Coturnix japonica: one gene and its partners. The protein of the gene in region 1 interacts with the protein of each later gene in a pairwise test. Links are inferred from orthologs where the notes say so. Each region holds a gene or a part of one and is shown on either strand. Other genes may lie near its edges. The genes, in order: SH2D4A, HMBOX1, TFIP11, PPP1CB, CDR2, MTUS2 and GOLGA2.

Region 1 (2,751 bases):
GCCTTCTATTTAGCATTGTTCCTATCACGCTGAACAAAAAGCAATTCTTGCCAGGATCCAAAAGCTGTCATTTGAACTTGATCCACAGATCACTGTCTTTTGTAACAGGAAAGAAGGAATCCAGAGGACAATCTCCAGTTCAGCTGAAGAAAGCATCATCAGGTGGTTCAAAGAAGAGCAATTCCCCCTTCGAGCTGGCTATCAAAAAAACACAGACACAATAGCACCTTGGTTTCATGGTGAGTCCTGAGCACTTTCGCCCCAACTCAACCTTTTAAGGAGTTGTTTCTACTACAACTACAGGGCTGCTACAACAGACTGCTCCCAGGAACTTTTTGAAGGTAGCTAGCAACATTTTCTATTTTTAATATGTACAAGAGTATGAATTTCTCTAATTGTGACAAAGTTCAAGCTAAAGTCTTGGAGTGGAAGCCAGATCTTGACTTCGCATAGCTAGCTGATAAGCCTAATATTCTGGATGTAGAACAGTTAGCACAAAGCACAGTTAGCATGACACCATGGTCTGCTACCAGCAATGGCAGTACCTTTCTTGTAATAGTGGGCCAGAAAACAAGCAGGGAATAGAAGCACTGTGAATTACTTTTAGAATGGTAAAAAAGGGTTTATTGGGAGAATTGCTCCATCTGCTCCTGCACAAATGCTTTTCTCACTTCAGTTCTGTGTTGTGGCTTTGAACAGGTATCCTAACCTCTAGAAAAGCAGAGGAGCTTCTGAGTAAAACAGTGCCGGGGAGTTTTCTGGTCCGTGTCAGTGAGAAAATCAAAGGCTACGTGCTTTCCTATCAGTCTGCAGAGGGATGTAAACACTTCCTTATTGATGCCTCCAGCGATTCCTACAGCTTCCTTGGAGTGGACCAGCTACAACATTCAACACTGGCTGACCTTGTTGACTACCACAAGGTGAAGTTCCAGCAATTAACTCATTAACTACCGTTTATGTATTTGCCTCAAAGCACTTCAAAATAAGAAGCATCAGATTCAGTTGTTATAATGTAGTTAACTAGTCCCATTTTAGCTACTACTGGGTATTATATGTGCCATTCCAGAAGGGTATGTGAGACCAGTGGGGACACCCACATACATCTCAGATGTCTTAGACCTTAACTGCTCCCCCTCAAGCAGGCAGAACACCTTGTATGGGGCTCAATCACATTATTTAGCAGAACTGCTGATAAGGCAATAGATGAAAGCATTCAGACTTTTTATGATTTTCTCAGTGGTTGTGGGGTCCCAGCAAGTTCAATAAATTGAAAATAGTTCACCTCCAGCTTCAGAAAGAAAGAGAACAAGGTATATTTATAATTTCAAAACAGACAAGGTATGATATGGAGCAAGGGTAGCAAATAATGGAAGGGAAGGAAGAAGGCTGTCAAGTCCTTACAACAGTAACGCCAAGTGTTTGCTAGCACCGACTGCAGTTGCATAGGCTCCAAGTAAGAGCCTAGCATAATTTAGACACGATTAACCAAAACTGGTAGGTGAAAAAATATCTACACTCATTTGCTATGTGAAAATCTATCTGGGCTTCTTCAACCTGCTTCTTATGTAGGTTTCACAGTCCAGGTTGAACCTGTTGGAAGCAGGAGCTAGACAACTTACTGGCACCAGAGCTGGAAGATTTAAAGCCTGGCTGTAGATATCTGTATTAAAGATAGAGTCACACCCACAGTCTGCAAAGAATCCTACGGACTCTATTGCACTACAGCAGATGTATGTGGGAGCAGGGCAAACCTACCCAGATAACATGCTCCAGTGGGTTCTATTCGTCACCCACTGGATGACCACAAAAAAAAGGCAAATTCCCACCATGTATCTGCTGCTGAGATTGAGAACAGGATGGGAAACAGAAACAGTTTCCAGGGAATTCTCATTAGAAACAGGCTTGCCAAAGCAGAAGGCACATGTTCACTGCAGGGTCCAGTCCCATCCCTCTCACAAACACAACTCCCACTTGTGGGCACCCCACCTGTGCTAGTGCAAATGCAGCAAGCTTGCAGTCCCACTAACTTGCATGCCACACAATCCTTACTCCAGAAATTCCTAGGCAGGACAGCATTTCACACTGTAGAAGCTGCTTACAAGACAAGCACAGCTATTTCCAAGACCTACCAGAATCATGTCACTGGATTACTATAACAAGCACACTTTCTTGAAGGCAGAAGCCAGCCATGCAGATCTGCATCCTGAATTCCCAGGGCTCTGAGACATATCACACAGTGAGACTAATAGGTCCACACAGTCATGGAGTGGCAATATATTGTGATATTCCAGGTAAACTGACCTGTTTGAAAAGTGTTTAATTGCATTTTCTGTCAACAGGATGAACCCATCACCTCTATGGGAAAGGAGCTGTTGCTTTATCCATGTGGTCAAGAGGACCATGAACCAGATTACATCTCCCTTTTCGAGTGAGCCTCCCAGTCTCATTACGTAGCACCATGCCGTTTTCACCAAGATTGGATTTCAAACTGGAAGCTACTGATGCTTACCTGAAACTTGCCATAAGTGCCTCTATTTCAAATCCTTCACAACAAAGCAGTGGGAGAATAAGTGCTGTCACAGGCTTGTTGTCTCAACAGAGAGAAAGGATGCACCAGCCCCGCAAGCTACAAAACACCCAGATACACCATGCATGTTGTTCTGGATTAGACATTGAAGAATCAGTTGAACAGAGATTTTGCAGATTTCCTCAGGGATACCTGTGTTCAAGCTGGGTTTTGCTCTTGAATGC
Region 2 (4,080 bases), on another chromosome or scaffold:
AGGCGTGTAATAATCACAGACTGACCCGGGTTGGAAGGGACCTCAAGGATCATGTAGTTCACCCCCCTGCCTAGCAGGGCCACCAAACACTACACATTTACTAGTATCAGGTTGCCAAGAGACCCCATAGGACCCATAGGACCCCATAGACCCCATAGAGACCCCATAGATCAGGTTGCCCATGGCCCCATCCAACCTGGCCTTGAAACACCTCCAAGGACGGGGCATCCACAACCTCCCTGGGCAGCCTGTTTCCAGGGCCTAACCACTCTCCTAGTGAATAACACAGTGCTGTGTCCTCAGCTACGTGTATTAACACTAAAGCAGCAGCTATTTCCACACCGAACCATTGGGGATGCTCCTATGGGACAGCCCCATGTGCTATGGGCCCAAACCCACTGCCTGCCCCTCACCCAACCCCCGAGGGTGATCCCAGCGCAGAGAACACCACCCAGCTCCCCCCATAGCCCCTAGTAGCCCCCCCATACATCCCAATAGCCTCCCATAGCCCCCAACAGCCTCCCATAGCCACCAGCAGCCCCCATAGCCCCCAGTAGCCTCCCATGGCCCCCCAGTAGCCTCCCATGGCCCCCAGTAGCCTCCATGGCCCCCAAATACATCCCAATAGCCTCCCATAGCCCCAATAGCCCTCCATAGCCTCCCATGCCCCCAATAGCCCCCAATAGCCCCCAATAGCCTCCAATAGCCCCCAATAGGCCCCAATAGCCTCCAATAGGCCCCAATAGCCTCCAGCAGCCCTCCACACACCCCAATAGCCTCCCATAGCCCCCAATAGCCTCCCATGGCCCCCCACAGCCCCCCATACACCCCAATAGCCCCCATAGACCCCAATAGCCCCCAAAGACCCCAATAGCCCCCAATAGACCCCAATAGCCTCCAACAGCCCCCCATGGCCCTATAGACCCCCCACGGCCCCCAATGGCCCCATAGCCCCCACTCACCAGCTTCATGCTGCCCGGCTCTATTTACAGGCACAATCCTGCCCCCCCACTTCCGGCTCGCTCCCCCTTCCCGCCGCAAAGCATCACGGGATTTGTAGTCCCCCCGTGATGACGTCATGCCGCCCCCCTCCATATCACCTTGCCGTCCCGTTGCATGCTGGGAGCCGTAGTCCGCGCTCCGCTTCGCCCCGCGCTCCCGTGGTGGCGCCGCGCCGCACGGCACGCTGGGAATTGTAGTCCGTGAGCCGCGGCGCTCCCCGTCACCCTGGGGAGGGGGGAACTACAAGTCCCAGGGTCTCACAGCTGCAGCAGGTGGGAGCTCGGATGTTGATATCAACATGGCGCTTGTCAGACAGACAAAGACAGTCGGTCTGGTGTGAGCGAGCCGGGAGGGGGGGGGGGGAGAAATAAAAACCACCACCACAAAAAAATAAAGCCCAACAGAGAGAAAAGGAGCCGAGGGGGCAGAGAGGGGAGGGGGGGGCTGTTATCCTCGGGGGGCTCCGGCAGCACAGCGCTATTGTTGTCCACGTTCATCTCCCCTCATTGCAGGGGGGGGGTCCCCGGCGGGGGCGGCCCGTTCAATGGTGAAGCGGAGGAACCGCCGGCACCGGGAGTGAGTGAGTGGGGGTGAGGGGGGGAACGGGGGCGGGCGGGTGGGTGGGCTGCCAGGAGGGAGGGTGGGAGGGAGGGTGGGTGGGAGGGGGAAGGGCCCCCCCGGCTGTGTCTGAGCCTGGGAGGGATTCGAGGCGTGAGGAGATCCGAGGGTGCGTGAGGAGGGGGACGGAAGGGTGCCCCCGGATAACAGGGAGATCGCTCTGCTGCTGCTGCTGCTGCTGCTTCGGCTTTTTATTCTGTTTTGTGTTTTCACCCCTTCATCCCCCCTCTTCACCCCCCCATCCACTCCCGGGTGTGGGGAGGACGAAGTCGCGGCGGCGGAGTCCCCTCAGGTTGGGTGGGTGCTGGTTCTTTCGTTTATTTCTTTATTCTTCTTTATTTTTCCGCTTGTTTCGGTGCTGGGACCGCGAACCCCGAGCGGAGCTGGGGGGGGCCCCCCTCCCTCATCCCTCTTTCCCCCTTCCCTCCCCATACCCCCCCCATATCTCTCAGCCCTTTATCCCCCTCTTTTCTCCTCATTCCTTTCCGGGATCCGACCCTTGAGGGAGCGATCACTCATTCCGGGGTGAACCCAACTGTTTTCCTACGGTTATGTGGGGGGGAAAAGGGCATTCCGCCTCCCCCCCCCGAGCTGTGCCGCTGCCGGGGCTTTGCGGGAGGGCGAAGGCGTCGAACCGAAGGGATTCGTTTGTGCGGGATGGGGTGAAGGAGCCGGCGACAAATCGGTCCTAAAACGTGTGAGGAGGGTTTGGGCGGGGTGTCAGCCGCTTGTTTATTCCCTACTTCACGGGGAGAGAAGCTGCGACGCTTCTCTGTCTGTGCCCGGGTTCGTTCGGGGGACCCTCATGCCCCCTTGAGAGCCCGGCATGGCAGGGGATGCTGCCCACCCACCCTGCCCCGCTTCTGGGCTGACCCTACCCGAGTTCGGTGCTGTTTATCAGCTCAGATCGCACATATGAAGCAGGTTGGGCTGAGTTCTTCCACCTCTGGTGGGTTTTTCAGTTGTTTTGCGAAGTACTTCTTTGGAATGTCGTGTTTTTTGTTGTGGTTTTTATTTTACCCTTTTCGGTGGGTCTGAAAAAAGCTGTGGGTGTTCGGTGATGTGCAGGGGTCAAAATGCTTCTTTGGGGGGGGTGGGGAGGGAAGAAGGAAGAGGAAAATCAAGGCTGTAAGCAGACAGCGGAGTGGGGTGTAGCTTAATTTGTTCTCATTGGGACTAGAGATAAGTGGCTTTAAGTACAGCACAGCACGTGAGCTGGAGCTGGGAAGGTTGAAACTTTGTAGGGAGGAAAGTGTTAACGTGACAGCCAGGGCTTGGCGGTGTGGGAGCGGATCTGCTGGATGCCCCTGATCCAACTATATAGGGATGGAGGGGAAGGAAACTGGGGGGGAAAACTACAATTTGCCTGTAAGACAGCACGTAAATACAGGGAAGGGGAAACTGGTGGGGAAAGGCTTGGTGCTGTAGTGCCTGCTTGCATCCCAGCTCATTGCTGCAGGGTTCATCAGGTACATTGCTTTCTTCCTGGGATGGTGTGGCTGCTATTTGATTTCTTCCCTGGATGGGAGAGGAGGAGTCCTGTGCAGTTCTTTTCCCCGAGCTGATTGCATTTGCTTTGGCCTTGCTGTACCCTACCTCATTAGTAGGAACTGCATCTATATTTATTTACCATTACATCGGGTCCCTCGGGATGCTGGGTGTAGTTTGGAGTAGGTATATATGGATTTATCGCTCTCAATATGTTTTTTTCCTCTTGTCATGCTACGGCCAAATCGTTTGAGAACAGGGAACGAACTTCATTTCTTTCTGTGTTTCGCATCAACCTTTTTGCCATTTCTCTTCCGAATCGTTAAGAAAACATTTCTGAGGCACAGGTGGGGGAGGAGAGATGGGAGATAGCAGTGCAGGGATGTGTTTGTTAGCTGCCTATTCTGAGACCTCTGAGTGGTGCTTGATGCTATATCAGCTAACGGGGGTTTGGGATTGTTTTTTCCCACCTATGTGAAGATTATTCCTTAGCCCCATGACCGCCACAACTTTTCTGTATGGTTGATGGGATTGTCTGACGAGCCTGGGCGTGAGATGAGGAACAAGGGAGGAACGGAGGAGGAACAAGGAACTTGTGTCTCGTTCAGCTCTGCCTCGTTCTTCCTCCTATCGTTCCTTCAGCACAGCGCAGGCACCCGAACAGCCATCAGCATTTTTACTCCTGTGTCATCCAACTCTGTTCAGAGCAGGTCTAGACGACATTGTGCTATGCAGACTGCCAGCTGTGTTACAGGAATGCTACCAGAGGTGAAACGGCAGGTTATTTAAAGAATGGTAAGGAAACCTTCAAGGAAATACTGCGTGGATGAGGCCTGCTTATCTCTAGAACTACTTTATTAAGCGGTCTTGAGCAATTCTTTTCTATTTTATTGACCTTTCTAGAAAACACGCATCCCTCCAGTGCTGCGATACGGTAATTCAACAGAACTAGGAGCAGTGTCTGCTGCACAA
Region 3 (3,331 bases), on another chromosome or scaffold:
CACTGTTTGAATTGTAATCAACTGCAGCTTCCGCAATACCAGCTTGTTGCCTTTGTCAGTGTATTTTGGGTTTAGGGGGTTATCTGCATCTGGGAAGACTTTGTGCCAATAGAAAATTAAACCTCTTTTGTGTTTTGCCTTAAGGTTGAAAACTGGAATCCTTTGACAGACACAGTCCCAATCCATTCCTGGATCCATCCCTGGCTTCCCCTGATGCAGGCACGATTGGAACCACTTTATTCTCCCATCAGAAACAAGCTGGCGAACGCGCTGCAGAAATGGCATCCCAGTGACTCCTCAGCCAAACTTATCCTTCAGCCGTGGAAGGATGTGTTCACACCCGGGTCATGGGAGGCTTTCATGGTCAAAAACATTGTGCCTAAACTTGGTGAGACAACGGAGAGGCATTTTTAATTCTTTTGCTAATGTGAATGCTTTCACTATGAGATTTGCCGTGCAATCTTCATTTAGCCGTGCAATCTGGCTGTAAGGCTCTGATCCAGAAAAGAAGGAAAAAAGCTGAATGTCTTAAGTTTCTCAGTTTTGGCTGTAAATTGTAATTGAGGGAAATGGAATTGCACTGTTTTGGTGGCAGGGATCAGCCAAACATTTTAAAGATTCTGGAAGTAATACGGTGCAATAATCACATATACCTCATTGTGAGATGGGTTGGGGCACTGGTAAGTCAGGTACTCCTTTAACTGTTCTTCTCCTCTTTCCAGGGATGTGTTTGAATGAACTCATCATAAACCCTCATCAGCAGCACATGGATGCCTTCTACTGGGTGATTGACTGGGAAGGAATGATTTCTGTCTCCAGTCTTGTTGGGTTGCTGGAGAAACACTTCTTCCCAAAATGGCTGCAGGTGAGGAACAGGGCTGAATTGTTTCTGACAGTTGTGATTCCAAGTGAAGTGTTTCAGTAACTCTGACCTAATAATTGTTGCTCCGCTGAGTCATAAACAAGCTAATTTACTTCCCTGAATGTACCTATCCTGTTGAATTTGTTCATGTTGTTTTGCAGGTGCTGTGCTCTTGGCTTAGTAATAGCCCCAATTACGAAGAGATCACAAAGTGGTACTTGGGCTGGAAGTCCATGTTCTCAGACCAAGTGTTGGCACATCCATCCATCAAAGACAAATTCAATGAAGCTCTTGATATCATGAACCGGGCTGTCTCTTCCAGTGTTGGTAGGTGGCTTATTGTGATGTATTCACTCTGGACCTTTGTCAGTGTAGCATTTTTTCCTGTGCATGCTCAGATTTAGTTTGGGACTACATCAGGTCCTGTATCTTTAGCTACAGCTCTCTGATTCATCTATGTAGTCTTTGTATTAACAGTAACACTGTGAATGCAAGCAATGTAAATGTATGGAGGATGATTCTGAACACTACAGCTCAGCCTCGCTGAATCTAGCACTGTATGCATCTTGGACTGGAGCTTCCCCACATAAACCTTACATGTGATTTTCACACTTTTTTCTCCCCAACAGGTGGCTACATGCAGCCAGGTGCCCGGGAGAACATTGCATACCTTACTCACACAGAAAGGAGGAAAGACTTTCAGTATGAAGCCATGCAGGAACGGCGAGAGGCCGAGAACATGGCTCAACGAGGCATAGGCATGGCAGCCAGCTCTGTGCCAATGAATTTTAAGGACCTAATTCAGACGAAAGCAGAGGAACACAACATTGTTTTCATGCCCGTGATCGGAAAGCGACACGAAGGGAAACAGTTATATACGTTTGGACGGATTGTGATTTACATTGACAGAGGTGTTGTATTTGTACAAGGAGAAAAGACCTGGGTGCCAACCTCTCTCCAGAGTCTCATTGACATGGCCAAGTGAGGCTCCTGCTTGAAACTGTGAAGGTGATCTTAGTAATGTTTTTCCATGTAACCGTCTTAGAATAAAGACGTTACAGATTTGCAAACAGTGGAACTGCAGCTGGATGCCAGGATTGTTTTCTTGGCTGTTGCAACAGTGTCAAGAGGTGAAATGATACGTAGAAGCTAATGCAAAGGGAGGAAGGGGGAGGAGCAAGCAGTTCCAATGCTTGTGTAATGGCCACTTGTGATACAGATTCAGCAATAATTGTCTCAAACCACTAAACAAGTGAGGGCAGGGCCAACAGTAGATCAGCCTCAAACGCTCCACCAACAGATTTTGCAGCTCTACTTGACAGCGGCAGTGCCCTGGCAGTGGTAATTACTGTCTCAATGGTGTACTCCCACAGCTAACCCGACACTTGCCTCAGCTGCTTAATCAGAGGTTCAGGCTGTGATGACCAGTTTCCCATACAGTGAGTGTAAGTCAAAGTGGAGCTTTTACTTTTATTAAAAAATCACTATGATACAAAAATGTCCCATCTAGCTCAGTGTTCAGGTGCTGCTTTTGGCAGCAGTGCTGTCAGTGCTTGAGTGTCACCTTGGCTGTGCAGGAGGACCGAGGGAAGAGGCAGAACTTAGGCCTGCACTGGAGCAGGGCTGTGCTGGCTCCCTTCCTCCCCCTTCCTGATGATCTCCAAGTCATCACATTCCTCATAAGTCGGCTCCTCCAGGAACTCCCAAGCTTCAGCTGAGAGTCTCTCCAGTTTATATGCAGGGAACCAGTGGATGGAGGTGTCGTTAAAGGTATCCAAGTACCGCGGATGAGCAGGGAGGGCAACTTCCTCCACCCCTTTTAAAACCTAAAGAGCATTTGGAAAAACACAGAGCAAAAGAACTTCTGTGCAAGTTTATGTGAAAGATGGGAGTGTTGTGTTAACTGTGCCCCTCTTTGCAACGTGTTCTGAAGATAATAAAATGGTCCCAAGGCTTTAAAAACAACCACCTTCAGCTTTAAAGTTGTGATTAATGTTGCTTCTCACAATAAGGTGCTGGGTAAATGCAAATAGTGGTGTTGTGTTTAAAAGGTGCTTCTTACCTTTGCAATGTAAGTGTAATCTCTCTCCAATACTCTTGATGGCAGCCTATAAAAAAGAAGAGGTAAATTAGGACCATGAAATTGCCATGAAAACAACTTTTCTCAATGGAAAAGGGAAGAAGAGGCTGCAGCTGTGACAGAAAGAAAGCAAGGAGTGGACAGCAATGTTGGAAATGGGTTGTAGGGCTGTACCTACCTCTCCTCGATGCCCTTAAAGCTGTTGCCAATGATGACCATGTTGGACAGGGCGCCAACAGACCAGTTCTTCCACAGCAGGTTGTTGTACAATGCTTTGCCGCAGTGCACCATATAGAACAGCGTGGGAGACCCATTTATACTGTGCTTTCCCTCCTGGTGGGGGGATAGTATGGTCACAGTGTGGACACAGCTTGGTAACATGGGGTTAG
Region 4 (3,963 bases), on another chromosome or scaffold:
AAAAGTGTCCTAAGGTGATGCATGGTAGGATCTGCTTGTTTTTCTGTGACTGCTTCTGGATATAAGGTTTTGCAACCAACTAGTGATAATTAATCAGCAGTATTTGTCTATTTTGAGAGCACTTGGATGTGGTTTCTTGCTCAAAAATCAAGACCCGTGAGTGTTTTAGAAGCAAGGTGTCCTCAGAAAACATGTGCCTGTGCTGACTGGGGTCACTAACTCCCATTTCAAGTCAGCAATTGAAAAAGGCCATTGAGGCAGCTTTGCTTCCATGCAGGGAAAATATGCTCCTGATTACAGGATGGAAAATCAACTATAGGCCATGCAGCTTTTCCCACCTACACAGCAATGGTAGTCAGTCTCCACAAGGGTGATACATGTCAGATATAAGCTGTGGCGAGTGGATAGCTGTCAAATATTGCCACGTGTTTTCATTCAGGTGACTGAGGACAGACCAAGAAGGACAATACAGCTGGATCTATGGTTTCTGAAAGCAACTTTAACCGTGTTGAAGTCAATACGTAAAGTACTTGATTGCTGACCCTATGTAAGGCAACCAGGAAAGAGTAGGCAATATTGTCAGGACAGGGCTCTGTAACTGGGACACAACCGTCTCAGTAGCACAGTAAGGACTTAGAGAATAATACTTACTAACTCATCATTTTTTGCCACCTTATTTGGAAATCTCTGTTGTTTGATTCTTATACATTTAGTGCTGAATTAAAGGATATCATGAGACAGCATGTGGGTAAGGAAAGATGTCACACAGGGTATTTATGGTAAATGGCACTGAGACCAACGTTAGCAGCAAAGCCCTGTTTGTGGACATAAGAGGAAATTTCCAAATAACCAAAAGGAAGTTTAGAAAGATGAGTATTATTAATGAGAGTTTGCCACAGGCAAATCAGCAACGTCCTGCTTCTGCTACTTAAATAACGAGTTAGCTATCTTTGGTCTCCATGTGTGTATGCTGTAATGTCAGAAGTCACTGAGCAGCTCCCCTTGATCAAAGACAACGCACGCAGTCCACGTTAAATACTTCATGTTCTACGATAATATATAATTACGCCTCAATGTGGTGACTGGAAGCCGCTCCAGACCGGAGCTACAACACCGCGCATGCGCCACGCCACCCGCCGCTCCTTCAGCGCATGCGCGGCGGCGGCTGCTGAGGCGGGGAGGAGGCGCGGGTAGACGAGGCGGCCGCTTGCTCCCATTTAGCGGCGAGGGAGCAACGGGAGCGAGTTCGGCCGGGCTGCGCTGCTCTGTGACGCCGGGCGGCCGGAGGGCACTGCCCGCGGGGGGCGGGGGGAGCCGTCTGCGCCGCGGCCGCCGTTGCTGTTGCCTGCTCCTCCTCCTCCTGCTGCTGCTCGGCGGAGCGCCCTCCACCCCGCCCTCTCCCCGCCCGGGACCGAGTGTGGTGGCCACAAAATGGCGGATGGGGAGCTGAACGTGGACAGCCTCATCACCCGGCTGCTGGAAGGTGAGCGCCGAGCCGGGCCGAGCCGACCCGCGGGACAGCGGGGGGCGCCGGCGGGAGGCGGGCGGGCGGGGCGCGGCGGGAGACGGGGCGGCCCCTCCGTCGGAGCCGGGGGGCGCCTGGGGGGCTCGGGGCTCCTCGGGGTGTTCCACGGCCGGACCGGGCCTCTCGCAGCTCCTCGCAGCGAACAGGGGACGCTGCGGGGGTACCTGGGAGGGGGGAGCCCCGCCGCCTTTAAAGCAGCGGAGGAGCCGTTCCCGCCGCCGCAGCTGCCCTCTGGGGGAAGGCTCGGCTGAGAGCTGGGGGCCGGCTGGGTCAGTCGTAGCTTCCCGGGTCTGAAACGCGTTGGGGAGCGGCGTTAGGTGAGGGGTTGTGTGGGAGCGGCCCTGTGCCTGTGCTCTGTGCAGAGCTGCTCAGGGCTGCAGTGTGTTTTGTGCGGGTTTCCCTCAAAATGAGAAGGGAAGGTGAATCCGTCTTTCCGGATAAACTGCGATAGTGATATTAGCGTTTTCTTGTAAGTTGTCTCTAGTGCTGGGTCTCCGCAGGCCTCTCCTCACGTAGCTCATCCATCCCGCACGCAGCCCGTGCCCGCTGTGCTGTACGCGGATACGAGCTCTTCACTCGCCACAAATGGAGATGGGAGCCTCGGGTATTTAAATCGCTTTGCAGAAGGCTTATATAAAGAAATGTATGGAGTACGTACTGTCCTGGAATGGAAACGAGTCTCCTAAGCGTGAAAATTCTTTATAGCCAAGTTACTGCCAAGCAGAGTTTGTAGGGCTCTCAGTTTTTAATTGTAATTGCTCTCCTTTTGGGAGGTGAAACTATAAATTAAAAGCAATAAAACCAGTGTTTTAAAAAACACGAAGGCGCTGGGAGGTTGTACTCGTGTTTGTGTTTCAGGATACACAGTGTAGTGTAGTATGGAAAGAACCTGCAGCTGTTATCAGTCAGAGTTTATCTCTGATCACTACTCCAGATAAACTCCCCATTTTCTGCGTGTTGGAACCCAGATTAGTAGGTAGGCGTAAGGCAAGCGAAGCAGTAACCTACTAAACATTGACTTCTTCTTGTACTTTTATTTTTGACCTTCGTAAGGTGTGTGGTGTGTGTACGTATGGCGTTGTGATTTTTTGGTTGCTTTCTTTGGTCTTATTTATGGAAAGAGGCTCTTAAATAAAGGAAAATGAGAAGTACTTTTCCTCTCTGCCCATCTGCTTGTTGCTTGCAGACGGATTTCTGTTGTAAGGTGATCAAGACCTTTAAAGTACTTACTTGTTTCCTTCTGTATATACCATAAATACTTGTGTTGCAACTCTCTAGCACTTGGGGTTATAATTGGCTGTACTGAGACCAAGCAACCTTATCTATGCTTTTCATTCCATGGCAGTTTAATTTCTAACCATATGTATATGCAATTTCAGAAATAAGTTTTTGTGATGGTTTAGCATCTGTTTGTCAGCCAGTTTAATCTCTTAGAGCGGAGATCAGGAAGATTCTTCATGAAAACAGGGTAATTTTGTTGACTATAACAATGAGGAAATGTGGCTTTTGGGCTGTTAAACCAAAAACTGCATTACCATAATCAATAGTATTTGTAATGTAATGTTGGTGTGCTGTAGGCCTGTGGTCCTTTTGGTTACTCGAGGCGAAGTGGGTAGTGTTCAGTTTCAGCAGCAGTCTGCAGTTGTCTGAGGCTGCACATCAATTTTAAAGGCAGTAAGTGCGTATCAAAAGCTGTGGCCTCAACCTTCCCTAGTGACCTTGGCCTCCTGCTTTGTGACACCTGTTCCTGGCTGTGAGGCTCTCTAGCCTGTGTTCTTAATTACGTTTCTCGTAGCTGTTTTCACTACGATTGCTCAAGACCACTTGTCTTGTGGATTATATAACACCTTAAACTTGCCTTTTGATTGCAGTAGATCATCTTACCCTGCATGTGATTCTTCTTGTTTGAGACGTCAGAATGAGGCGGCCTGTGGCTGGGCTGCTTGCGAGTTTTCCTCAAGGACAAAGTACTGACACTCAGCAGATGTGCCTGCATGCATGGTTACTCTGAACATGTACATGGGATCCTTAGAGTGCTTGGAGTGTTTTGCTCTGAGTTAAATTGGGGATATAGTTTTCAGGAAGGCTCAGCTGAGCCATAGTCTAATGCTTGATGATAGTTTCCCAGGACGTTGGTTTATTTCCATGTTCTTGCATATACTGAATACTAATCCTTTTTATTGCTGAATTCGCTGCTGGTTTAATGAATGGTAAGAGCTTGTTTTGCGGTGACTGTTAAAATATGTCTGGTACTTGCTTACTTGTTAGAGATGGTGCTTCTAGATTGATTGATTTGGGGGGTACTTTTGGCTGATTACATGATAAATTTTGATACAGAAATAGCTCATGAAAGCTTCTGCAAACATTAAAAGTCATTCAACCATAGTTCTTTAGCTTTGCTGAAACACTTTGCAGCTGATGGGGGACCACAGAAATGA
Region 5 (3,500 bases), on another chromosome or scaffold:
TAACTGTGTGTACGGAGATGTAGTTCTGCTCAGAAGTCCAACAGGTGCTCATATGTTTAGTATGTAGTAACACAGAATTTATTTTATGGCGTTAATTCTACGTAACAAATAAGTATTCAATAGTTTAGGGGTTGGGGGGTTTGTTATCAAGTCTGTTTATTATAAATTTTTGTTCTTTTTTTCTTTTTTTTGAAGCTGGCTCAGTGCTGCCCTAGCTGGGACGATATAAGGCACTTGTACTGAGAGTCTTAGGTGATGGTTAACTTTCTGAAATAATCCTAGACACTTAGCAGGTTATTTTGTTAACCATAAAAGTAAAGGGAATTAAAATGAGATCACTTTGTGTGGAGTTGTATTTAAAAAAACAAAACAAAGTGCAGGAGACTTTTTCAGCATTATAATGACTGAAATAGTTCCCTGTAGGTAATTAAAGACTGAATCCAATAGCTTGGTTCTACTTCCTGACACATAGGAGTCTGCAGAATCTCAGGTGTGACCACATCCTAAAATGTGTTTTGCTGAACCTAACGCTGATTCAAACATAGACAAGCAGAAAAACAATCAGGGTAGTGCTACCCAATACTTCAGTTTAAATGCTGAGAAAATTATTGGGTCAACATTATTACAAAATTTATGATGTAGTTCAGTGCAACTTTTAGAAGGACTCTGTGAAGAACTGTGTTGAAATCCAGGTTTGTGGCTGAGTTGGTGATGACTGCAGCACAGACAAACCCAATCCAGATGGGTTTGTGGTAGCACTGGCAATAGTTTAACTGCAGCAAGGATGGCTAAACAGATAAACACAGTTTGCACGAACCAACCCAACTCATGTGGGTAAAGGACTGGTTGATCAGCCTTTGCTGACCTCCATGACAAAGGCAAGAGAAGTAGCTAAGCTACTGATTGCACCTTTTCAACTGGGCAGTAACCAAAGCAACCACTGGAACCTGTACGTTTCTAAATCACAGCAATCATAGCAGGTATTTAATGTGAACAAAACTGCAGAATAGTAGCCCTATCCTGTGTTTCTAGTATAGACTTGTAACAGCAATGCTGTCTTGCAGTATCTCACAAAGCAAGTGGAGCTCTTGCGTCAAATGAATGATCAACATGCAAAAGTTTATGAACAGCTGGATGTGACAGCAAGAGAACTAGAAGACACTAATCAAAAACTAGTTGCAGAGAGCAGAGCGTCACAACAAAAGATACTAAGGTAACAAACCTAAGCTAGATCCTCTTTTCTCCCCTCTACTCAACTGATACATGCAGCTTTTTGGTGGCTGTTTGTCTAGCATTGTTCTACAACACTCTTAAACTGAAAGTTTTATTTAAAGGTGATTTGTGGCCAAAGAGCTTCAGAGAAGCTGGAATGGGGAGGGATGGGAACTAATCTGTCCTGGATTAAACTGTCAAGTGTTTTAACATCAGTCCTTCACTTTTAGCTTGACAGAGACTATTGAAAATCTGCAGACACACATAGATGACCTGCAGAGGCAAGTAGAAGAACTGAAAAAGTCTGGACGAGGCCGGATGAACCATGAGAGATCTGACCAGCCAAGATCAATGCACAGCTTCTCTTGTTTGAAGGAGCTATATGACCTTCGCCAGTAAGACTCTTACCTTGCATAGCAAACAGATTATTGAAATTATTTTGAGCAATGTTTCAAAAACTAGATACAAGCACAGATGTTTAACAGGGTAGCAGAAAAGCATTTTAAGTTTGCAACTAGAAAAACACCTGCACAGCTGTGCAGTGTGTGGTGTTGTCATGCTTCTGGTGTGCTCTGGCTGCGGACTGTATTGATCTTTGTGGGAGAGGAACAGTATGTTCTACTTTCTATCTTGACAGGTTCTCCCCCAAAGTCTCCAGCTGTATGAAACTGTGTCCTAGAAAGCCTTCAAGAATGTGAACCTCCCTCTTTTCAGTTAGATAAAGCACAAACACAGATAGCTACAAAGTAAATTATCCTAAACAATATTTTCTGTAACTTACTTTTTCCTTGGACATCTGTAGGCACCTTCTTCTCAAGGTGAGCTTGCTGCAGTAGCTTTGCAGAATTTAAGCTGGTAAAATGTTGCCTGAAGCTTTAGGCTGCTTTCTAATGTAGAGCAGTTCTACCCAGCTGAACCACATTGTATGCCCATCAGGAGTCACCCGGGGTATGGTCCCAATCTGTCTTCACTGCTAGAAGCTAATAGAGGAAGTGAAGTACTTCTGCAGACAGGGAGAACAGGATTTGTGTTTAGGCTTCCAGCACTGTGCAAGTAAGACTGAGCAATTAACAACCTATGCAAGCAAGGAATTACTTGATGACAATTCAAAAGATAAATGGGTTACTTCAAACTGTGAAAGGTTTGTGGGATTGCCGCTCTACAGAACTGCTTTGTTCATTCTGAAGCTTGTTTCCACAATCAGGGGTGACACAAGTTAAGAGATGTGGTAGAAATCTGAAAGTCAGGGAGTATCACATAATATGTGAAGGCAGTATTTAAAAAACTTAAATTATAGATCTCATTATTCAGTAAACTTATCTGTAATTTGAGATTGTTAAAGAGCTGCCATCCTGCTTGAGCTGAGAGGCTTGATGGCACATGAAGTATCTACAGGCTCCAATCATGCTATGTATTCTTTCAGATCTGTTAACATAAACTGTCATTAGTTACCAATGACAGGAAAACTTCAGGTGCAATCAGCTCTATTTCCTATTAGTAATCCTTGCTTCTGTCTCCTCAGGTATTTTGTTTATGATCACGTGTTTGCAGAAAAGATTACTTCAATGGATAGTCAGCTAAGTCCTCTGGAAGAAGAAAATGAGAACTTGAAGAAGGCAGTTACGGTTCTGCAAGCCCAGCTCAACCTAGAAAAAGAGAAGAGGGTAACGATGGAGGAGGAATATAGTCTTGTGGTGAAAGAAAACTGCGACCTTGAACAGAGGCTTGTTGATATTGACTTGTATCGGGCTCGTGCAGAGGAGTTAGAAGTGGAAGTAGCTGAAATGCGACAGATGCTTAAATCTGAAAACACACTCCACAATGCGGAGAAATTGGTGCCAGAATCCTTTTTCATTTCATTTAAGGAATCTTTAGAAAGGGAGCTTGGTCAGAGCCCAGCTGATGACGGGCTTCTGGCTGTCCCTGAACTTGACAAAAAGGCACTGAAGCGGAGCAGCAGTGAAAATTTCCTGAGCAGTGCTGCAGGGGGAGACATTCTAAGGGGCCACGAAGAAACGTGTATCAGGAGAGCTGAAGCTGTGAAGCAGCGGGGAATCTCTGTACTCAATGAAGTCGATGCTCAGTATAATGCTCTGAAAGTGAAATATGAGGAACTTTTGAAGAAGTGTCAAATAGATGAAGATTCTTTGAAACACAAGGCTGTACAAACACTGAAGCAGTATTCTAAAGACAGTGTGGGAAATAACCAGTATGAGTTTTCAGCTAATAATCAAGAATTTATGAATGCAGGAGAATCGCTCAGCTCCACAAATACTCTTCCTGAATAT
Region 6 (3,500 bases), on another chromosome or scaffold:
GTCAGGTCTGAGATATCTGAGGCACAGTGAGGACATAAGGTGAAGATGGTCACCTAATGCGTGGGAATGAGGAAAAGACAGAAGCATTTAATAGTGTGGGGTTTTTTGCCTTAGTTTGTAATATTAATGCTACCCAGTCGTTGAGTTGAAGAATCATGACTGGGGGAATAAAACTTTCCATTCACCAAAATAAATTGCAAGTATCAGCTTATCATTCATCAGTCCACGGGCCTGATGGATTCACTTCATAGTACTGAGGGAGCCAGCAGATGTTACAGCTGGATCCCTCCCAACAACTTACCAAAGGTCTTGGGAGTCTGGGGAGGTCCCTGCCAGCTGGCTGCTAGCCACCATCATACCCTCCTACAAGAAGGGCATGAGAGAAGACCCAGATAATTGTCAAATTACTAATGCAGGACTTTTCCTTTGAGCCCACACTGACTGTGCCTGGTAATTGGTAATTTGATATAATTCTATGTATTATAACATCACTGCTGAGTGGATGAAGGGGATCTGATTGCATCAGTGGATGTAATCTTTCTGGACTTTAGTAAGGCTTTGATGCCATCTCTCACAGCATCCTTCTGAACAGACTGTCCAGCTGTGAGATGAACAGGATCTTGTTGTGCTGAGAGATGAACTGGCTGCAGCTCAAAGTGCTGCAGTGAATGGAGCTGCATCTGGCTGGAAGCTGCCACTGGCAGTGTTCCCCAGGCTCAGTTCCAGGGCCAGTTCTGCTCAACATCTTAATTGGTGATCTGGATGTATCCTTAGCAATTTTCCTGATAGTACTAAACTGGGAGATGCTGCTGAGTCCCTGGCTGGAGAGCAGCTCAGCAGAAGGGATCCACATCCCTGTGCAGGTGACAGCAGCTCAGCATGAGTCAGAGCACAAGCAGAGCAGTGACTTGTGCAGCACAAAGGAAGAAACCCACCAATGCCCCCTAATAGAGCTGGAATTTTAATACTTAATCTTGTCTCTACAGTAGTGCTTTAAAAACTTCAGTAGCATTTCTTGGTGCAGTAAAGGTCAATATCTTATAGCAGTATGAAAGTGCTCAGAGCCTTGATGTGGGGTTCTGTCCTTAGCTGCTTACAGCAATCAACAGTTTTAAATCTATGTGTCAGTAGCAACTTGCCTTCTAACCAGGACAGTTTTAACTATGTCTTCTCAAGTCAGAGATCTGGGCTACATTAGGAAGCTCTGCTGAGGGCAAAGCTGTGGCTGAAAGAGAATCTGAACTGTCCGAAAGCTCTCCATTTTGGAAAATTTGCCACTTTTAACCTTATTTTTAGTTAGTATAACTCATGATATTCATGTAACGTAGTCTATTTTTTTTTGTTTTCTCATAGGTTGGCTGGATTAACTGGCTGTCATTCAGAGGGAACTTGACAGATCTATTTTGCTTTCGTTGAACCTCTCTACTGCATTCATAAGGATTTCCTGGATCCAGAAGCTGCACTGGAGGCAACTGAGCAGCACAAAAATGTGACTTTGACAAGAGACTCCGAGCCTTCTGCTGAGGAATTTCTTACTGATCAGTTTGTAATTTAAGCCTAAAACTGAAGCACGCATAATAGTTTGTTAATCTGATAGGGGACAAAGGCTTTCTCATTACCTAGGGCTGCCAAAAAGGCAGTCACTGGAAGCTTCAGAATGAGTGCTCCATTAGTCCCAAACAAATCATGTTATTCCCAGCTTCAGGACAATCGCAGTGAGATAAAAAATAATAATGAAAGCACAGTGAGCGTGGGGGATAGCAATGCCAACCAAATCATGACAAAGATTAGAACCACGGAGGGGGAAATCAAGAAACAGGGTTTGACAGATGAAGGTGGAAATGTACACTCTGGAGGATCGGAGAGAGTTACTTGTCTGGATACAGAACAGAATAAACTGGTGCTCAGAGACTCTCGGACCTGTAACACTGGTATACAAGAAAGTAAGCTGCCTTCAACCACAAGCAGGGAAATAGGGAAGGACAGCAGGGCCAGTGAAGTTAAGGATATAGCAAGGCATATCAGGATGAGCCGAGGACAAAGTCTGTCCAGTTTAAAAAGCAGCACAAATGATGCTAACCTGGAGATCATTTCTAAAGGTGATGTTGACTTCACCCAGAATTTTCCTAAGGGTAAAATGTCCAGGACTGTGGAGATGGAAAGAATAAAAAGGCTCTCTTTGGGCAGACCCAGTAAATTTTCTCCTCAATCTGAAACACTTACAAAAGAATGTGTTGGCCGTGTGTCTTGTAAACGTCTGCTTTCCGCATCATTGGATTCCATTGACAGGTCGCACCATTTGATTGGAAATACAGAGAAATCACAAAAAACTTCCACAGATCATTTTCTTGGGATGGTGTTTCATCCACTCGACAATACCTCAGAGGAAAATACTGTCTTTTATTCCAAACCATCTACCTCAGGGAACAAGAAAATAAGTAAACCAGAAAACGTACCAAATGTTAACACCGAAAGCACACTGCATACTTCTCATACCCATCATCATTCAGCTGTTAAGCCCAGTGAGATTGCTAGTAAATCAGAAGCACAATTAAGTCAGGGTGATAAAAGTAAGAAGCTGGAGCTTAAGGCTGTGACATCCCTACAATCTAAAAACACATGTCAACAAAAGACTGAGAGAATTATGGTGGTAGAGTTTCTGGGATGTAAAAAAGATGGAAGTACAACAGTAAAAGAACAGAAGGAGTCTGGCTCTGACGCATCAACATTTCAAACATCCCATTTTCAAGACATCTGTGATAAAGCAGAGGATCCTGTGTCAAATCAGGTTGTAACCTCTTCTGATGACAGACTGCAAAGTGATAACTTCACCATCCACGGGGAAGGAAGAGAAGGACATGACAGTGACAGTGGGGCAGCTACCCAGCTTAGTGAGGAAGACAGAGAAGTGGAAACAATATTCCCACTCACCTGTGATGGTAATTCCAGTAGCAAAGTGACACCTATTAAAAACAAAAATTTACATGAAGATGATGCAGGCTGTGCTGAAACAGTTGGTGAACAGGTATCTCACATACAAAATGTGTATCTTCCTGATAGCAAACCCTTGCAAGTTAATGAGGATAAACTGATGCTGGTCGAAGGAAGCACTGAGGAAGCTGCCTTGCCTGCTTCTGATCTCTCTGAGCATGACAGAGTGTGCAGCACAGAGACAGTGTCAAACCAACAGCCTGACGACCATGTCAGTGACGTGGAAACCTTCGTGGTTCCAAGTAAAAAGACAATCCCTGCCCAGAAACATCCTCCAGATGAAGCACAAGAGAGCTATAAGGTTTCGGCAAAGGCTGACACTTTTTTATGTGTTCCAACTCATATGCGCCCGGTGGCAGTGCTGGATGTTAACAGTCAGCCCACACTATCAAACAGTAATTTGAAGGACCTATATGCACTTCCCATTGACAAACTGTCACCCTCCTCAGTCCTACCTCATGCTGACAGTACGCAGATGATGAACATATCCCCCAAAGTGCCTATGAAGA
Region 7 (3,955 bases), on another chromosome or scaffold:
GCCCTTCCTCCCCCAGGAGTGAGGGAAGACACTCAAGCCTGTAAATGCAGTACTTGAAATACCCGACTTCCTGCCTAAGCACATTTAGAACTGTGGTACTTGCCAGACTGTACATCACCTGTGCAGGTTTCATCACCTGTCATAAAATGGGGCGGCTGGAATAACTAAAGGCTTGCTCAGGGCAGGCATGAGCAGAAACTCGCCCTTCAGGAGCACAGCACTGAAGTGAATAAAACAACACAGACCAGGAGAAATACACATGAATAAAGCACTACTCCTCCCTAACACAGCGTCTCTCAGCAGTTAACTTGGTTTACTGCCTCACCCCAAACTCTGTTTGCTCCTTTCTGCCTTCCAGCTCGGCTGTCTGAGGGACGTGCACTGGACATGGGTGACATATTTGCATTTTTTGACAGAAAACAGGAGGAAACAAGCACTTACAAGCGATGGAAACGCATGTTAACAAACAGCCCCGTGTTAATAAAAACAGCAGACATGCCAGAACAAGGCTCCATCTGAATTCACAGTGTAAAACATAAGTTAAGCATGCAGAGGGGACAGCGAGTCAGTGAGAGGGACACGGAGCACTGCCTCACCTTCCTTCTGTCCAATGAGGGTATGGCTACCCCATTGGAGCGGTTAAGGTCTGACACCAGCACCTTCAGAATGTTCTGAATCTAAAGGAGGCGAAAGAGAAGGGGAAAAGAGAAACGGCTCAGAAAAGGACAGAGAGAAAAACGTCCATCAAAGGCAGCCAAAGAAACGGGCATCGCCCAGCCCCCGAGGAGAGGCAGCTCGGGGTGCATCCAGGGTTGCGTTACAGCTCTGAACGCTCCAGCACTGCTCCAGCACACACCCTGACTCACAGGCTGCTAACAGGGGCTCCTCAGCCGCTCACATTACACTGTTTAACCCTCCCCCAGCTGCAGTTGTGCTGTTTGGGAAACCAAAGCTGGAGGCAGAGGGGATACGTGGGAGGAAGGGGGGGACGCTCACGTTCTCTGGAGACTGTCGGCCGTCGTTTGTGGGAGTCTCAGGCCGACTTCCTTCTTTACTCTTTCGTTTCTTCTTGGCTCCCGCAGTCGCTCCAGGGCTGTTCTTCTGCTGATACTCCTTCAGCTGCGGGGAAAGAAAAGATTAATGTGAAGTCCAAATGGAAGATGTCCTCTGTGAAGGGAATGGCAACAAGAAAATGACAACATAACCAGTGGGTAAGGAGTCAGCTGAGCTGTAAGGACAAGAGAAACCGGCCTTAAAGATGGATATACGTTAAAAATAGTTCAAAGGCTCCAAAAGGGAGAATGAGAGTGATGGGTTTGTGACAGACCGAGAGCTGTCAGTGCTGTCCAACTAAGGAAGTGCCCAGGAAACAACTTGATGCTGCAAGAAGCAACGTTTGTAAATCTGTAACCAACAGCAACGAGGGAAAAAGAACGATAACATGGGATGCAAACTGGAAAAGTGGAGTCTGATAATAAGATGGAACAAGAATGTTGAAAGAGCTTTAGGAGAACGACAGCCCTGCAGGTAACACACTGATACAGGCACAGAATCACAGAATGACCCGGGTTGGAAGGGACCTCAAGGATCATGTAGTTCCAACCCCCTGCCTGGCAGGGCCACCAAACATACACATTTACTAGATCAGGTTGCCCAGGGCCCCGTCCAACCTGGCCTTGAACACCTCCAAGGACGGGGCATCCACAACCTCCCTGGGCAGCCTGTTCCAGGGCCTCACCACTCTCCTAGTGAAGAACTTCCCCCTAAACTGCCAGCACTGCGGGGATGAGCACACTGCGATGGATGCTCAATTGGAGGCCGTTGTGCCCAGGAGAAGCTCAGAGCAGCACAAATGGCCGCAGCTCGGGGCTGTGAGCGCCCATGGAACGCGGGGCTGAGCTTAAACGTCAAGGTGAAAAGCACCGGAACGAAAAGGATCCTCGGCAGGATTTCAAAATGGAGCCCGAGCTGCTCCGGGGCACTTTCCCATTCGTTTGACTTTGACACGGGAGGGCATCGCGATGGGACGGAGCGGGCCGAGCTGTGAGAAGGTAAAAAGGGAAGAGAAAGGGGAAAAGAAAGGAGGGAAAAAGGAGAAGAAAAGAGGGAGATGGAGAGGAAACCCGAACGGGAAAGAGCGGCACACACAGAACGCAGCAGTGCAGCAACACAGGCCCGGCCCCACCGGGGCGACAAGGAGCTGCGGGACCGGGCCGGGCCTCACCGCAACGCTACGGGCACGGCACAACACGGCACAACACGGCCCCACATAGCACAACACGGCCCCACACAGCACAACACGGCCCCACACAGCACAACACGGCCCCACACAGCACAACACGGCCCCACATAGCACAACACGGCCCCACACAGCACAACACGGCCCCACATAGCACAGCACGGCCCCACACAGCACAACACGGCCCAGCACAACCCCCCGCCCTCACCTTCTTCTTGGCCGCCGCCAACTTGCTCTGCCTGCTGCCGTCCGCCATGTCCGCCCCGCTCCCGGGCCACGTCAGCCGCCGGGTGGAGCGGCGCTGTGCTCGGGCAGAGCTCCGCCCCGACACCCGCCCCGACACCCGCCCCACCCCGCGGCCTGGGCTCGGCCGGGCCCCTCCGCCCGGTCTGGGCCGTGAATGGCGGCCGGTCCCGCCCCGCTCAGTGCCCGCCCACGGCGGATGATCGCAGCCCCGCGTTCCGGTTCCCATCGTGCCGTGCTGCCGGTGCAGGCCGCGGCCCTGGCGGAGCAGAGCGGTCCCGGTTCGGGGCGCAACGCGCCGCCCCCGCAGCGCAGGTAGGAGCGGAACGGGTCGGTTCTGTTCGGTTCGGTTCTATGTGCTGACTCGGGGCTCCCCGCGCTGTTTCAGGGCTCTCGGCGGTTCCCGGCGGAGCGGTGGTGCCGGTTTCAGATCCCCGGTGAGCCGCCCATCCCGTCCCATCCCGTCCCGTTCCCCCGGCTCCTCTCGGTGCCGTTCAATAACCGCCATGACGCGCCGTGTCCCCGCAGCGCCCGGCCCCATCCCGCACAACGGGCGGAGCATCGTGCGATAGTATCGAAGAACTGAAAGAGAAGGAGCGAGCTCTGGACCGGGAGATCGCGGAGCTGCTGTCCGAGTACGGCCCCGTTACAGCCCCGTTACGGCCCCGTTATTGTCCCGGTACAGCCCCGGTACCGCGGCCATCCTAAGGGTTATGGGATCCATGCACGGCAGCAGGGAGCTCCTTCCCCGTTGTTTCCCCAGTGCTGTGTTGGTCAGGCTCTGAGCTCCCCTGCTGATGTACATTGGGAAGTAACGGGTGTGTTTCTATAGCTGATGGCAGCACACGTTGTGCTAACAGAGCTGCTGATGTATATAAGCTGAGATCTCAAGCTGAGGCCGCTGCCCAGCTGCCTGGATGAGCGTTTCCCTTGGTCTGTGTGAGGCCATGGACACTTGGTTTGAATGAGGTGGTGGGGGTTAATCATAGAGACATGAAGGCTGATAAAGAGCTCTGATCCCCACCCTGTGCCCACTGCCACGTCCCTCTATTCCACGTCCCTCTATTCCACGTCCCTCTATTCCACGTCCCTCTATTCCACGTCCCTCTATTCCACGTCCCTCTATTCCACGTCCCTCTATTCCACATCCCTCTATTCCACGTCCCTCTGTTCCACGTCCCCATGGCTCTAGAACACCTGCAGTGATAGGGGCTCCTCCATCCCTGTGCTGTACAATGCCCCACCACTCTGAGAAAGGCGTTTTTCCTGCTATCCAACCCAAAATCATTGCTCTAAACAATGATGGGTTTGACCAGGCTGGCTCTGCACACCTCAGATATTGCTTTGTTCCGCAGTGGTTTTGTTGTGTGGCTTTGTTACAGAGGGTACAATGTGGAGGAATTGGAGAAGCACATCTCTCTGCTCCATGAGTATAATGAAATTAAAGATGCTGGGCAGATGCTGCTGGGCAAA

What was found.
Region 2: the proteins of SH2D4A (region 1) and HMBOX1 interact in binary tests that used the Homo sapiens proteins (3 or more experiments, as listed by UniProt). The two-hybrid records come from large-scale screens. The link is inferred for Coturnix japonica from reciprocal best matches to the Homo sapiens genes SH2D4A and HMBOX1.
Region 3: the proteins of SH2D4A (region 1) and TFIP11 interact in binary tests that used the Homo sapiens proteins (3 or more experiments, as listed by UniProt). The two-hybrid records come from large-scale screens. The link is inferred for Coturnix japonica from reciprocal best matches to the Homo sapiens genes SH2D4A and TFIP11.
Region 4: the proteins of SH2D4A (region 1) and PPP1CB interact in binary tests that used the Homo sapiens proteins (3 or more experiments, as listed by UniProt). The two-hybrid records come from large-scale screens. The link is inferred for Coturnix japonica from reciprocal best matches to the Homo sapiens genes SH2D4A and PPP1CB.
Region 5: the proteins of SH2D4A (region 1) and CDR2 interact in binary tests that used the Homo sapiens proteins (3 or more experiments, as listed by UniProt). The two-hybrid records come from large-scale screens. The link is inferred for Coturnix japonica from reciprocal best matches to the Homo sapiens genes SH2D4A and CDR2.
Region 6: the proteins of SH2D4A (region 1) and MTUS2 interact in binary tests that used the Homo sapiens proteins (3 or more experiments, as listed by UniProt). The two-hybrid records come from large-scale screens. The link is inferred for Coturnix japonica from reciprocal best matches to the Homo sapiens genes SH2D4A and MTUS2.
Region 7: the proteins of SH2D4A (region 1) and GOLGA2 interact in binary tests that used the Homo sapiens proteins (3 or more experiments, as listed by UniProt). The two-hybrid records come from large-scale screens. The link is inferred for Coturnix japonica from reciprocal best matches to the Homo sapiens genes SH2D4A and GOLGA2.

Annotation. Positions count from the first base shown.
Region 1 is NC_029519.1:30,070,082-30,072,832, forward strand, and holds part of SH2D4A (SH2 domain-containing protein 4A), read left to right. Parts: intron 1-108; coding exon 109-239; intron 240-699; coding exon 700-920; intron 921-2,339; coding exon 2,340-2,432; 3' UTR 2,433-2,751. UniProt on the Homo sapiens protein: Inhibits estrogen-induced cell proliferation by competing with PLCG for binding to ESR1, blocking the effect of estrogen on PLCG and repressing estrogen-induced proliferation. May play a role in T-cell development and function.
Region 2 is NC_029518.1:96,819,285-96,823,364, forward strand, and holds the start of HMBOX1 (homeobox-containing protein 1), read left to right. Parts: upstream 1-1,280; 5' UTR 1,281-1,582; intron 1,583-1,709; exon of another isoform or gene 1,710-1,729; intron 1,730-1,749; exon of another isoform or gene 1,750-1,917; intron 1,918-3,271; exon of another isoform or gene 3,272-3,903; intron 3,904-4,080. Other genes in the region: INTS9 (integrator complex subunit 9), read right to left, coding at 963-971. UniProt on the Homo sapiens protein: Binds directly to 5'-TTAGGG-3' repeats in telomeric DNA. Associates with the telomerase complex at sites of active telomere processing and positively regulates telomere elongation.
Region 3 is NC_029530.1:6,260,357-6,263,687, reverse strand, and holds the end of TFIP11 (tuftelin-interacting protein 11), read left to right. Parts: intron 1-144; coding exon 145-388; intron 389-722; coding exon 723-865; intron 866-1,023; coding exon 1,024-1,189; intron 1,190-1,491; coding exon 1,492-1,847; 3' UTR 1,848-2,463; coding exon of another isoform or gene 2,464-2,688; 3' UTR 2,689-2,831; downstream 2,832-3,331. Other genes in the region: SRRD (SRR1-like protein), read right to left, coding at 2,464-2,688, 2,925-2,970, 3,121-3,275. UniProt on the Homo sapiens protein: Involved in pre-mRNA splicing, specifically in spliceosome disassembly during late-stage splicing events. Intron turnover seems to proceed through reactions in two lariat-intron associated complexes termed Intron Large (IL) and Intron Small (IS).
Region 4 is NC_029518.1:24,323,243-24,327,205, reverse strand, and holds the start of PPP1CB (serine/threonine-protein phosphatase PP1-beta catalytic subunit), read left to right. Parts: upstream 1-1,163; 5' UTR 1,164-1,431; coding exon 1,432-1,483; intron 1,484-3,963. UniProt on the Homo sapiens protein: Protein phosphatase that associates with over 200 regulatory proteins to form highly specific holoenzymes which dephosphorylate hundreds of biological targets.
Region 5 is NC_029529.1:8,355,824-8,359,323, reverse strand, and holds part of CDR2 (cerebellar degeneration-related protein 2), read left to right. Parts: intron 1-1,064; coding exon 1,065-1,213; intron 1,214-1,442; coding exon 1,443-1,607; intron 1,608-2,734; coding exon 2,735-3,500.
Region 6 is NC_029516.1:157,080,212-157,083,711, reverse strand, and holds part of MTUS2 (microtubule-associated tumor suppressor candidate 2), read left to right. Parts: intron 1-1,353; 5' UTR 1,354-1,657; coding exon 1,658-3,500. UniProt on the Homo sapiens protein: Binds microtubules. Together with MAPRE1 may target the microtubule depolymerase KIF2C to the plus-end of microtubules. May regulate the dynamics of microtubules at their growing distal tip.
Region 7 is NC_029532.1:3,735,658-3,739,612, reverse strand, and holds the start of GOLGA2 (golgin subfamily A member 2), read right to left. Parts: upstream 2,801-3,955; 5' UTR 2,712-2,800; coding exon 2,448-2,711; intron 1,120-2,447; coding exon 997-1,119; intron 678-996; coding exon 597-677; intron 1-596. Other genes in the region: DNA repair protein SWI5 homolog, read left to right, coding at 2,989-3,000, 3,055-3,161, 3,865-3,955. UniProt on the Homo sapiens protein: Peripheral membrane component of the cis-Golgi stack that acts as a membrane skeleton that maintains the structure of the Golgi apparatus, and as a vesicle thether that facilitates vesicle fusion to the Golgi membrane.